Callithrix jacchus: one gene and its partners. The protein of the gene in region 2 purifies or fractionates together with the protein of the main gene of each other region. This does not show direct contact. Links are inferred from orthologs where the notes say so. Each region holds a gene or a part of one and is shown on either strand. Other genes may lie near its edges.

Evidence for each region.
Region 1: the proteins of TCTN2 (region 2) and TMEM231 purify together in Homo sapiens (affinity purification with mass spectrometry; 3 studies listed by BioGRID and IntAct, counting the BioPlex papers as one, with this or other methods). This does not show direct contact. The link is inferred for Callithrix jacchus from reciprocal best matches to the Homo sapiens genes TCTN2 and TMEM231.
Region 3: the proteins of TCTN2 (region 2) and TCTN3 purify together in Homo sapiens (affinity purification with mass spectrometry; 3 studies listed by BioGRID and IntAct, with this or other methods). This does not show direct contact. The link is inferred for Callithrix jacchus from reciprocal best matches to the Homo sapiens genes TCTN2 and TCTN3.

The regions. Positions count from the first base shown.
Region 1 is NC_133521.1:32,961,992-32,965,744, forward strand, and holds the start of TMEM231 (transmembrane protein 231), read right to left. Parts: upstream 2,274-3,753; 5' UTR 2,250-2,273; coding exon 2,111-2,249; intron 2,014-2,110; coding exon 1,844-2,013; intron 1-1,843. UniProt on the Homo sapiens protein: Transmembrane component of the tectonic-like complex, a complex localized at the transition zone of primary cilia and acting as a barrier that prevents diffusion of transmembrane proteins between the cilia and plasma membranes.
Region 2 is NC_133510.1:126,866,656-126,870,308, reverse strand, and holds part of TCTN2 (tectonic-2), read right to left. Parts: intron 745-3,653; coding exon 603-744; intron 1-602.
Region 3 is NC_133513.1:88,551,741-88,555,393, reverse strand, and holds part of TCTN3 (tectonic-3), read left to right. Parts: intron 1-3,213; coding exon 3,214-3,341; intron 3,342-3,576; coding exon 3,577-3,653.

The DNA of each region.
Region 1 (3,753 bases), on a different chromosome or scaffold from region 2:
CCACAAGGAAAGATGATTTAGCTTCTTCTCTCCCTCCACTCCTCCCCTGTCATACTCAATACCTTTCTCATTACCGCCAGTAGAGTTAAAATCTGTTTTTGGTCAGTCAACATTCAGTGCTCATATAATTAAGACTATGTAAATCCTATTCACAACTCTGGTGACTTTTCTGCTATCACTGTTCCTTACTTTTCAATTCTCTGCAGTTATGATTTGCTTAGTTTTCTATGTACTTATACAATTTCATCAAAGAGCTGCTATTCCAGTTCCTCACAATTTCACATTTAAAAGCATAAGATCTAGTCAAAACCTTGTTCACTGAAATATTGCCCCTAGGCTGGATATGGTGGCGCACACACGTAATCCCAGCACTTTGGGAGACTGAGGTGGGTGGATCGCCTGAGGTCAGTAGTTTGAAACCAGCCTGGCCAGCATGGTGAAACCCCTTCTCTACAAAAAATCCAAAAATTAGCTGGACATGGTGGTGCACACCTGTAATCCCAGCTACTCGGGAGGCTGAGGCACGAGAATTGCTTGAATCCAGGAGGCCGAGGTTGCAGTGAGTGGAGATTATGCCACTACACTCCAGCCTTGGCGACAGAGCAATATTCTGTCTCAAAAAAAAAAAAAAGAAAAGAAAAAAATATTGTCCCTAATAGTGGAAAAGTCAAAGTAAGCCAAATATCCAGCAACAGGGAACTGGTTAAATACAGTACTGCTGTTTCATGACGTGAAATGCTGTGGAGACCTCAAAAAGAATAAGGCTGATTGATAAGTATTGATATATATATATATATATGCCTTCAATTTCTATTATGTCTACCTGTAACTCTGTAATATTTTAGAATGAGCATGTGCTTTTGTAATCAGAACATAAGAACATTTATAAAGTAATGGGAGAAAACTAACCCGAATCATATTAGGTTGGTGCAAAAGTAACTGCGGGGTTTTTTGCCATTATTTTTAACTAAATAAATTTTTAAAAATTTTATTTAGTTGCTGGGAACAAGTCTGATTTTCTTTTTTCCTCAGCTATACATGTTTGGCTTGTAGGACAATCATCTTAGAGATATCTGAAGAGATTCAGCTTTGGAAGAAGGAAAACCAGAAGTTTCATACTTCTAAAGGAAAATGTTTTCGGAAAATCAGTGAAAAGGAGTCATCATAAAGGAAGCATTTCTTTATAATCTCTCAAAGCAAATACTAAATTACAGTTTCCTCTGAGCACTCTGCTGATGAAAAAAGTTTAAAATAAATAAATTACAGACAGTAAGATGCTTCAATTTCATCCCAGACAGCTGCCAGACGGCGCAGTCTCTAAGAGGACAAGCCCACGGGGCGTGACTCGGCCAGAGCTCGTTCTGGAAGGCCGCTTAACCAATAAGCTCCTTGGTTTCCAGGGCTCAGCATAAAAATGTCGCCCTTTCCGTTCCTACAGTGCTGTGATGCAAACGCCGCGACACCTTTGGGTTACCTACATTAACAGTGCGCGGCCTTCAAGGCTCCTAAAAGGACTTTCACAAACATCTTCCATCAGGCCAGGCCTGCAGGTGTGACGGGGGCAGAGGCAGGCTGCCCCCAGGCCTCTGGACACTGTGTCAGGGCGCACACGCTGACAGCGTGGCTCTCTGGGGGCCGAGGACGTCTGGGAGAAGCTGACTGAAACAGAAGATCGATTCCCTAGGCCCTAGGAGATGAAACGTCCCACCTCTGCGGGTTCGCGAGTCCTTAGGATCCAAGCTGGGCTCCCCAGGGCCGGGGCCGCTAGCTCCACATCCCCATTCCCTTCCCTGTTCCCACCCCATACCCCTCTCTGCCACAGGCCCAGGCGAGAACCACGCACCGAAACGAACGGGACGCGCAGGCGATCCCCCTGCAGCCGGTTGAAGGCGGGGAACGTGCTCCAGGCGAGGAACCCGCCGCTCTCAGGTCCCAGCAGGGCCACGAGCAGCACCTGGTGCTGGAAGCGCACGGCCGGCTGCTCCTCGTAGCTGCTCCGCTTCAGCCAAAACCCTGAGTTAAAGAGAGTGGTGGGGAGGCAGTCAGGGAGGGCGGCCCCGGCCGAGCGCGCCCGGGGAGCCGCGTGGCACAACGGCCGGGGCAGACTCACCGTGGCTCCGGAAGGCCACCAGCAGCGGCGGGATGTAAGTGAGCGCCGCGGCCAGCAGCAGGAACAGCGCGGCTTTGGAGCAGAGTCCCGCGCGGTAGCTGCGCTCTACCGGGTGAGAGAAGAGCTCGTAGAGCGCCATGAGCTGGCACGCCGCGAACAGGGTGACCAAGTTTGGCTTCTCCTGATTGCCATCGCCTCGGTCTCACGGCAACCGAAGCCGCCCGGAAAGGAGCCAATAGCAAGGACGCACGGAAAGGAACCCGTGACGGGGGCGGGGTTAGCGGGCGTGGCGGCCGCCGAGGGAACGGTCGGCCCCCTTTCGGCCCTGAGTGCTTTTGCGTAAAGGCTGGGCGGCGATAGAATGTTTCGTGGACCAGAGTCGTGGCTGTTGTCTGTGTTAACTTTTGTGTAAAATAAGATGCCCATAAAAGTTGACTTGAACACTGTGGAGGAAAAGATAAATATTAAATTTTAACTCAATTGAACATGAACAAAACGGTCACCAAGTCCCGTACAGGTTGTGTGAGCCCCTTGAGGTGTTCATCCAGCGAAGTTTCGGAGAAATCTCTATTTCAATCTATTTCTCTAGGTTAGTATTGAAAAACAACCGCAAAAACAAGATCTTTTAATGTTCGTTGAGACAAGTGGTGAAGGACCCTCGTGACTGGGTCTCATGCCAAACAACTTGTTACCAAAAGAGCTAGGGTCCCAGACCACGCCAGAGCTTCCTGAGACCTCTCCTTGTCTGCACCAACGTTGCTTCCCAGTCTGGAGGTGAATCCTCCATAGTCTGGTGAGTGTAATGTCTGACTCTGGAGCCCAGGCTGTTGCTTCCCAGTCTGGTGGTAAGTCCTCCCTAGTCTGGTGAGTGTAAATATATATATATATTTACATGTCTTTTTCCTTCCCCTCTTCCCATTGCAATTTGCTTATTATATCAATCTGCTTAGTATATTAATTTGCTTATTTTATCTGCATTGCCATTTATGTGGGATAAAGCTTGTTTACACTTAAAGGTATTGTGTGTGTGTGCCTTTTCTTCTCCCCTCGTGTGTGTCCTGCACAGAACAAACATCTGCTTTTATGTCATCTGTTAACCCCCAGTGTGGTTCCTACTGAAGTCCAGTAAGTTACAGTCCTGGACCTGGTCCTGGGCTAAGACCAAAGCCAGATACCTTTGCCCCCAAATTTTCTGTTGCTTCCACTATGCTCCAATGCAAGACAGACACGGAAACACAAATCCCTTGGCTCTTCGAGGGATAGAGTAGAATTACTACAAAGCTCTGATGCACTTCGTTAACCTTGTGTTGGGTACAAGCTCAGCCACGAGATTTACAGGAAGCTATGATCCTCCCAAAAGATCACTGGTTTATTATCCCCTCACTGTCCCCAACCAATATTTCAAACATGGTAGAAGGACTTTTTTTTTTTTTTTAATCTATGGTCCACAGTCAAGTTCTTCATCAAATGGCCCTGAATGGCTGGGCGTGGTGGCTAACACCTGTAATCCCAGCACTTTGGGAGGCCAAGGTGGGTGGGTCACCTGAGGTCTGGAGTTCAAGACCAGCCTGGCCAACATGGTGAAACCTCATCTCTACTAAAAATACAAAAATTAGCTGGGCATGGTGGCAGATGCCTGTAAT
Region 2 (3,653 bases):
CTGAGATGATGGAAGGTTCTGGAACTATAAAAAGGTAATGGTGGCATAACACTGTGGAAGGTCCTAAATGTCACCGAATGGTACACTTTAAAATGGTTCGTTCTGGTGGGGCACAGTGGCTCACATCTGTAAACCCAGCACTTTGGGAGGGCTAGGAGGGCGGATCACCTGAGGTCAGGAGTTCAAGACCAGCCTGGCCAACATGGTGAAACCCCATCTATAATAAAAATACAAAAATTACCCAGGCATGGTGGCAGGCACCTGTAGTCCCAGCTACTCGGGAGGCTGAGGCAGAAGAATCGCTTGAACTCAGGAGGCAGAGGATGCAGTGAGCCGAGATTGCGCCACTGCACTCCAACCTGCACGATGGAGCGAGACTCCGTCTCAAATCAAACAAACAAAAAGGTTAATTTTATGTCATTTGAATTTTACTCCAATTTCAAAATATTTAATATGCAACATGCTGTCTTATGGAACTAAACAATTGGCAGTTACAATATTATTTGAAGTTGAACCAGTAAAAATGATTTATACTCTCATGAGATCATAGTTTATCTTCATGCTTGGGTCTGTGTTCTTTTTTTCAAAGAAATAAAACATACCTCCCAAGGCAACATTCTTGATCTTCGCATTGATAATACCATCTCGTTCTTGGTATGCTTCCAAATTAGTAACGCATTTAACATCAAAATTGTGAAGAAATGCCACTGGAGCGTCCTGCATACACTGCCCAGCCAGGGACACCTGAGGGTGAAGGGCAAAGCCAACAGATTTACGGCCTCTCTCCTAATCATACAAAATAGATCAGCGTCCCTTAACATTGTTCTTTCTGCAGCCTGCTCCCATTGCTGGTCTGGTTTCAGCAATGGCAAGTTCACTGACTAGTTGACCAGCTTTAGCAAAACAGCCAACTGATTCAACGATTTGCCCATCAAGGTCTGGAAGCCGTTGGTTGTGGAGTCACAGCAAATATTATCTAATAAAAACAAAGAGGCCAGATACAGTGGCTCACACCTGTAGTCCCAGCACTTTGGGAGGCCGAGGAAGGCGGATCACAAGATCAGGAGACTGAGACCATCCTGGCTAACAGAGTGAAACCCCATCTGTACCGAAAATACAAAAAATTAGCCAGGCATGGTGGCACATGCCTGTGGTTCCAGCTACTTGGGAGGCTGAGGCAGGAGAATCACTTGAACCCGGGAGACAGAGGTTGCAGTGAGCCGAGATCATGCCACTGCACTCCAGCCTGGGAGACAGAGTGAGACTCTGTGTCAAAAAAATAATAATAAAAAAATAAAATAAAATAAAAAAAGAAAGAAAGAAAAAGAAAATCCCTTGTCCTGTTCTGTTCACTCACCCTCACATTCTCTCCCTCATCACCACCAGAGTTTAGTACCATAAAAATGGATCCATATGAACAGGAAAGAGAAACTGTTTCACTTTCCACGCTTTCTTCTCCCAAATATCACTCCTCATAATGTTGAACTTAACAAAGATTTCAGGGCCAGGCATGGTGGCTCAAGCCTGTAATCCCAGCACTTTGGGAGGCCAAGGCAAGCAGATCACGAGATCAGGAGTTCAAAACCAGCCTGGCCAACATGGTAAAACCTCATCTCTACTAAAAATACAAAAATTAGCCAGAGCATGGTGGACGGTGCCTGTAATCTCAGCTACTCGGGATTCTCAGCTGAGGCAGGAGAATCGCTTGAAACCAGAAGGCAGAGGTTGCAGTGAGCTGAGATCGCTCACGCCCCTGCACTCTAGCCTGGGTAACAAGAACAAAACTCCATCTCAAAAAAAAAAGAAAAGAAAAGATTTCAGGTCAGGAGCAGTGGCTCACACCTGTAATCCCAACACTTTGGAAGGCTGTAGTAGGAGGATCATTTGAACTCAGGAGTTCAAGACCAACCTGGACAACATAGTGAGACCCTGTCTCTACAAAAAGTAAAAAATTAGCCAGGCAGAGGCTGGGTGCAGTGGCCCACATCTATAATCCCAGCACTTTGGAAGGCCAAGGTGGGTGGATCACCTGAGGTCAGGAGTTCAAGACCAGCCTGACCAACATGGTGAAACCTTGTCACTACTAAAAATCAAAAATTAGCCAGTCATGGTGGTGTGTGCCTGTAATCCCAGCTACTCAGGAGGCTGAGGCAGGAGAATCACTTGAATCCAGGAAACGGAGGTTCCAGTGAGCCGAGATTGCGCCATTGCACTTCAGCTTAGGCAACAGAAAAGACTCCATCTTAAAAAAATAATAATAAATAAATACAAAATTAGCCAGGCATGGTGGCATGCACCTGTAGTCCCAGCTACTTGGGAGGCTGAGGTGGGAGGATTGCTTGAGCCCACGAGATGGAGGCTACAGTGAGCTGTGACTGCACCACTGCACTCCAGCCTAGACGACAGAGCAAGATCCTGTCACTCATTCATTCATACATACATAAATGATTTCATATAAAACCTTAGAGCCTTAAATGTTTTTCAAAATTTCAATGACAAATAAAATGATGTATTTATCTAACCATTGTTTTTTATACTGGAGCCTACTTGAGGGTAGTAGGTAGGAGGAGGGAGAGGATCAGAAAAAAAATATATTGGGTACTTGGCTTGAGTGACAAAATAATCTGCACAACAAAACTCCATGACACAAGTTCACCTACATAACAAACCTGCACATGTACCCCCGAACCTAAAATAGGTTTTTAAAAAAAAGAAATAAAGAATGATAGTTACTTACAGCCAGGCACTGAGGCTCACGCTGTAATCTCAACACACTGGGAGGCCAAGGCAGAAGGATTTCGAGGCCTGTGCAACACAGTGAAACCCCCATCTGTACAAAAAAAATGTTGGCTGGGTGCGGTGGCTCATGCTGTAATCCTAGCATGTTGGGAGGCCAAAGTGGGCAAATCACTTTAGCCCAGGAGTTAGAGACCAGCCTGGACAACATGGAAAAACCCCATTTGTTCAAAAAAATTAGCCAGGAATGGTGGCGCACGCCTGTAGTCTCAGCTACTTGGGAGGTTAAGGTAGGGAGGATCATTTGAATGCGGGAGGTCAGGGCTGTAGTGAGTCCAGACCATGCCAGTGCACTCTACCCTAGGTCATGGAGCAAGACTACGTCTCAAACCAAAAAAAATGATAGTCACTTCCATGGAAACTTATAGAAAACCTTTTAGTTTTATATTGTTAAGTTCACTCTAAGTTTTAAGCAGATATTGATTAATTTAAGAATGACTATATGTTTTATTAATCCGGAGAACATAAATAGTTAAGTCCCTAAAAGCTACAAAAGAGAAAAATAAGTAACTTAAAAAGAGATTTTATGGCTGGGCGCAGTGGCTCAAGCCTGTAATCCCAGCACTTTGGGAGGCCGAGGCGGGTGGATCACAAGGTCAAGAGATCGAGACCATCCTGGTCAACATGGTGAAACCCCGTCTCTACTAAAAATACAAAAAATTAGCTGGGCATGGTGGCGCGTGCCTGTAATCCCAGCTACTCAGGAGGCTGAGGCAGGAGAATTGCCTGAACCCAGGAGGTGGGAGGTTGTGGTGCGCCGAGATCGCGCCATTGCACTCCAGCCAGGGTAACAAGAGCAAAACTCCGTCTCAAAAAAAAAAAAAAAAAAAAGATTTTATATACTCCAAGAATGTTAA
Region 3 (3,653 bases), on a different chromosome or scaffold from region 2:
CTCACACAGTCCTGCACACTCCATCAGGACCAGTGGATCTGAATTTTTCTTACCCAACAACACCTGAGGAATATGACCACTTCCAATAGTAATTATGGTTCATTACATCAATGAACTTTCCCTGAATGAGGCTGGGGAATAGATTCATGTTTAGTATGAAAAAGGCAAAAGCTTCCCTTTGGTTCTGATTATTTGCCTACCTTCCTCACAAATACACACATAGCATGTACACACAGTATACATAGCTATGGAGAATCACTTCACTAGATTCATATTTCCATAACATTGCATTATGTTGCTCTCTTATTCAGAAACCTCCATTACTTCGTACTACCCATAGAATAATAGCCAACTTCTTAGCCTGCCAGCAGATCTCCTATTTGATCCAACTTAGCTTTCCTGGCTCTTTTAGCATTACTCTCCACTCAGCTGAATTCATTTACTCATTAGCCTCAAGATATGCCCTGTATTTTTCCCAAGTTTGTATTTGTTTTTCTTTCTGACTCTATAGTTCCTTTTTCTCTCTGCATTTTGAAATCCCTTTATTTTCCATGAGTGTTTTCTTGCTCATCTACTGGAAGTAAGCCCATCCTCAGAAGTTCTAAAGCATTTATTGTTTGAGTCACCCCCTTGGAACCTGTGGGATTTTTAATATTGTTATTAATTTATGTAAACATCATGACTTTCCAGGAAAATTGTCAACACCTTGAAAGGATGGACCATATCTTTGTTTCCCCATGGTGCTTAGTATCTATTGGTACAGCCAGGCATGGCGGCTCATGCCTGTAATCCCAGCACTTTGGGAGGCCAAGGCAGAAGTATTGCATGCACCCAGGAGTCTGAGACCAATCCTGGCAACATAGTGAGACCCGGTCTTTACAAAAAATAGAAAAATTAGCTGGTTGTGGTGGTGCGTGTCTGTAGTGTCAGCTACTTGGGGAGGCTGAGATGGGAGGATTGCTTGAGCCCAGGAATTTGAGGCTGCAGTGAACTGTGATCATGCTCCTGTATTGCAGCCTGGGCAACAGAGTGAGATCCTGTCTCCAAAATAAAATAAAATTTAAAAATATACATATCTACTGATAATGATCATGAGTAAATTATGTTTTTAGTCAAAGTCTGTACAGTTTTTAGTCAAAGTCTGATGGAGTGGGGAAAAAACAAATCAGAAATAGGAGATCTGCAATCTACTCTCACCTCTGCAAGCTGGCTCTCTGGCCTTTTGCTACTCTTTTACCTCTGAGGAGGTAATGGGATTCACATGGGCTTTGACATCTGAGATTGTAACAATAGAAATCTAAATACCTTTAAGTTGTTTTAGGAGTAATATATTATCTATGATAGTAGAAATTTTAGGCAAAAATTCTACTTAGCCTATATTTACCATCACTACCACCAATATCTTTGCACTGAAGTGAGAGACAAAATGTTAACTTTCTCTGATTCATTTAAGTCCTGAAAAAATAGATATTTTGCCATCTCATTTCACCTTCTTTCTTAGCTTAACTTTAACTTTTACTTCATTTATAGAGATACAAATAACTGCATTTAGTGTAAGGTAAATATCTCTTCCATGTGGTTTGCTGGGTATGAGTTCTGAAGGAAATGTTAAAATAGCACTTGGACTATAATCCCAGCACTTTGGGAGGCCAAGACAGGTGGATTATGAGGTTAGAGTTCAAGACCAGCCTGACCAACATGGTGAAACCCCATCTCTACTAAAAATACAAAAATTAGCCAGGGCTGGTGGCGTGTGCCTGTAATCCCAGCTACTCAGGAGGCTGAGGCAGGAGTATCACTTGAACCCGTGAGGAGGTTAAAGTGAGCCAAGATCATGCCACTGCACTCCAGTCTGGGCAACAGAGTGAGACTCCATCTCAAAAAAAAAAGTTCTTGGAAGCTTTAGAGTTTGAAGATTTCAGATCGGAGGTAGAAAGTGGCCCATAGACGAGCAGCATCAGCATCACCTATTTTAGAGCAGTGCTTTTCAAATTCTAGTATGCATGCATATTACCTGGAGATCTTGTTAACACGGAGATTTTGACTCAGGTCTGGGGAGTGGCCTGAGAGTCTACATTTCTGAGAAGCTCCCAGGTAATACTGGAGCTACTAATCTGTGCACCCCACTTTGAGTAAAAAGGATCTAGGAGATGTGTAGAGTGAGTAGTCTGAAAAGTCCCAGCATTGAGAGTTGCATTTATGCTGTATCAGAAAGCGGAAAAGTCGCATAATTAAGATGTTATCACAGAGGATAAAGGACGGGTTCATTTAACGTGGAATCCTCATTTGCTTTCAATGATGCAGATATTGTAATATCTTTTACTCTGTCCAAATGACCATTAATTATATGAAGAATGAAACTGGCAAGGGGCATGTTTCGCTATGTTATTTTTCAATTTAGCAGATGGAGTAGTAAAGCAGACAATGTGTTGTCAGTCACCTGCCATCCTCTGGGCAGGAGATAGCACCACAGCCTTTCCTACATCTCCCTACTGGTTCTGAAGTGCCATAAAGAGATGACTGCAGGAACTTGGGTAGATTTATACATTGATATCATAGAAATTATAGAATTGTTCCAGAAAATAACGTTTTGAAATATCTAAAATCTTGAATGGAGGAATTATAAGCCTTAAGGAATAAAATGCAACATATCTCAAAACTTGAGAGATGGAAACATTATTAGGACTGGTCAGTTGAAGTTTAGAGGAATCAGGAAGATTTGGGAAGGACAGATCAAATATTGTCTCTAGCTTCACCATGTTCCTATGGAAATAGTGCAATTCTGTTGTATTAGAGACTCATCTGCTATGGGGCAGATATGAGCATTATTGAGCTTCCTATTTTCATCACAAATTGCTGATCATACACATTCTTGGTCATCGGTGACTTGAAACTGATGCATTCATTGACCATATTCTTTAATATTAAAACAATAATTCAGTCAGTAGATTGTGAATAAATTAAGAAGTGATAGAAGTCAGAATTTTTATTTCTGGAGATGGAGTATTGATTGAGAGCCTTCTGGGGAAATGTTCTATAACTTGATCTGGGTAGTTGGTAATATAGTATATAAATTTGTAAAAACTCTTTGAGTTTTCACTTGATTTGCACCTTGTATATTATGCTTCAGTAAAATATAATATTTTAAAAAATTAGTTACTTGGCATGTTTTTCTTTTATCTAAACTTCTTTTCTTTTTAAAAAACATTTTAGCAAAATTAAACTATTTCCAGAAGCTCCAAAAGGTCAATGCAACCAACTTCCAGGGCCTGGCTGCAGAGTTTGGAGGCGAATCATTCACTTCAACATTCCAAACTCAGTCACCACCATCCTTTTACAGAGTGAGCCTGGGGAAGGGGATGGGATTGTTTGGTTTGGTTTTTACTCTAAAGCAGACAACTGACAAGGTATCTTTGCAGTACTACCCTGCAGCTGGCTAAACCATTGTCAGCTCTTTGGAGGGCAGTACTGTCCATGTAATCAAGCCCTTGAGTTAACCTTGTTTCTACTCTTTCTTTTCTGTTGTAGTTTAGTCCAGTCTCACTGTGAACAAAGCTGCTTTTATATTTTACTTAGGCCGGGGACCCCATTCTGACTTACTTCCCCAAGTGGTCTGTAATAAGCTTGCTGAGACAACCTGTAGGAGTTGGAGC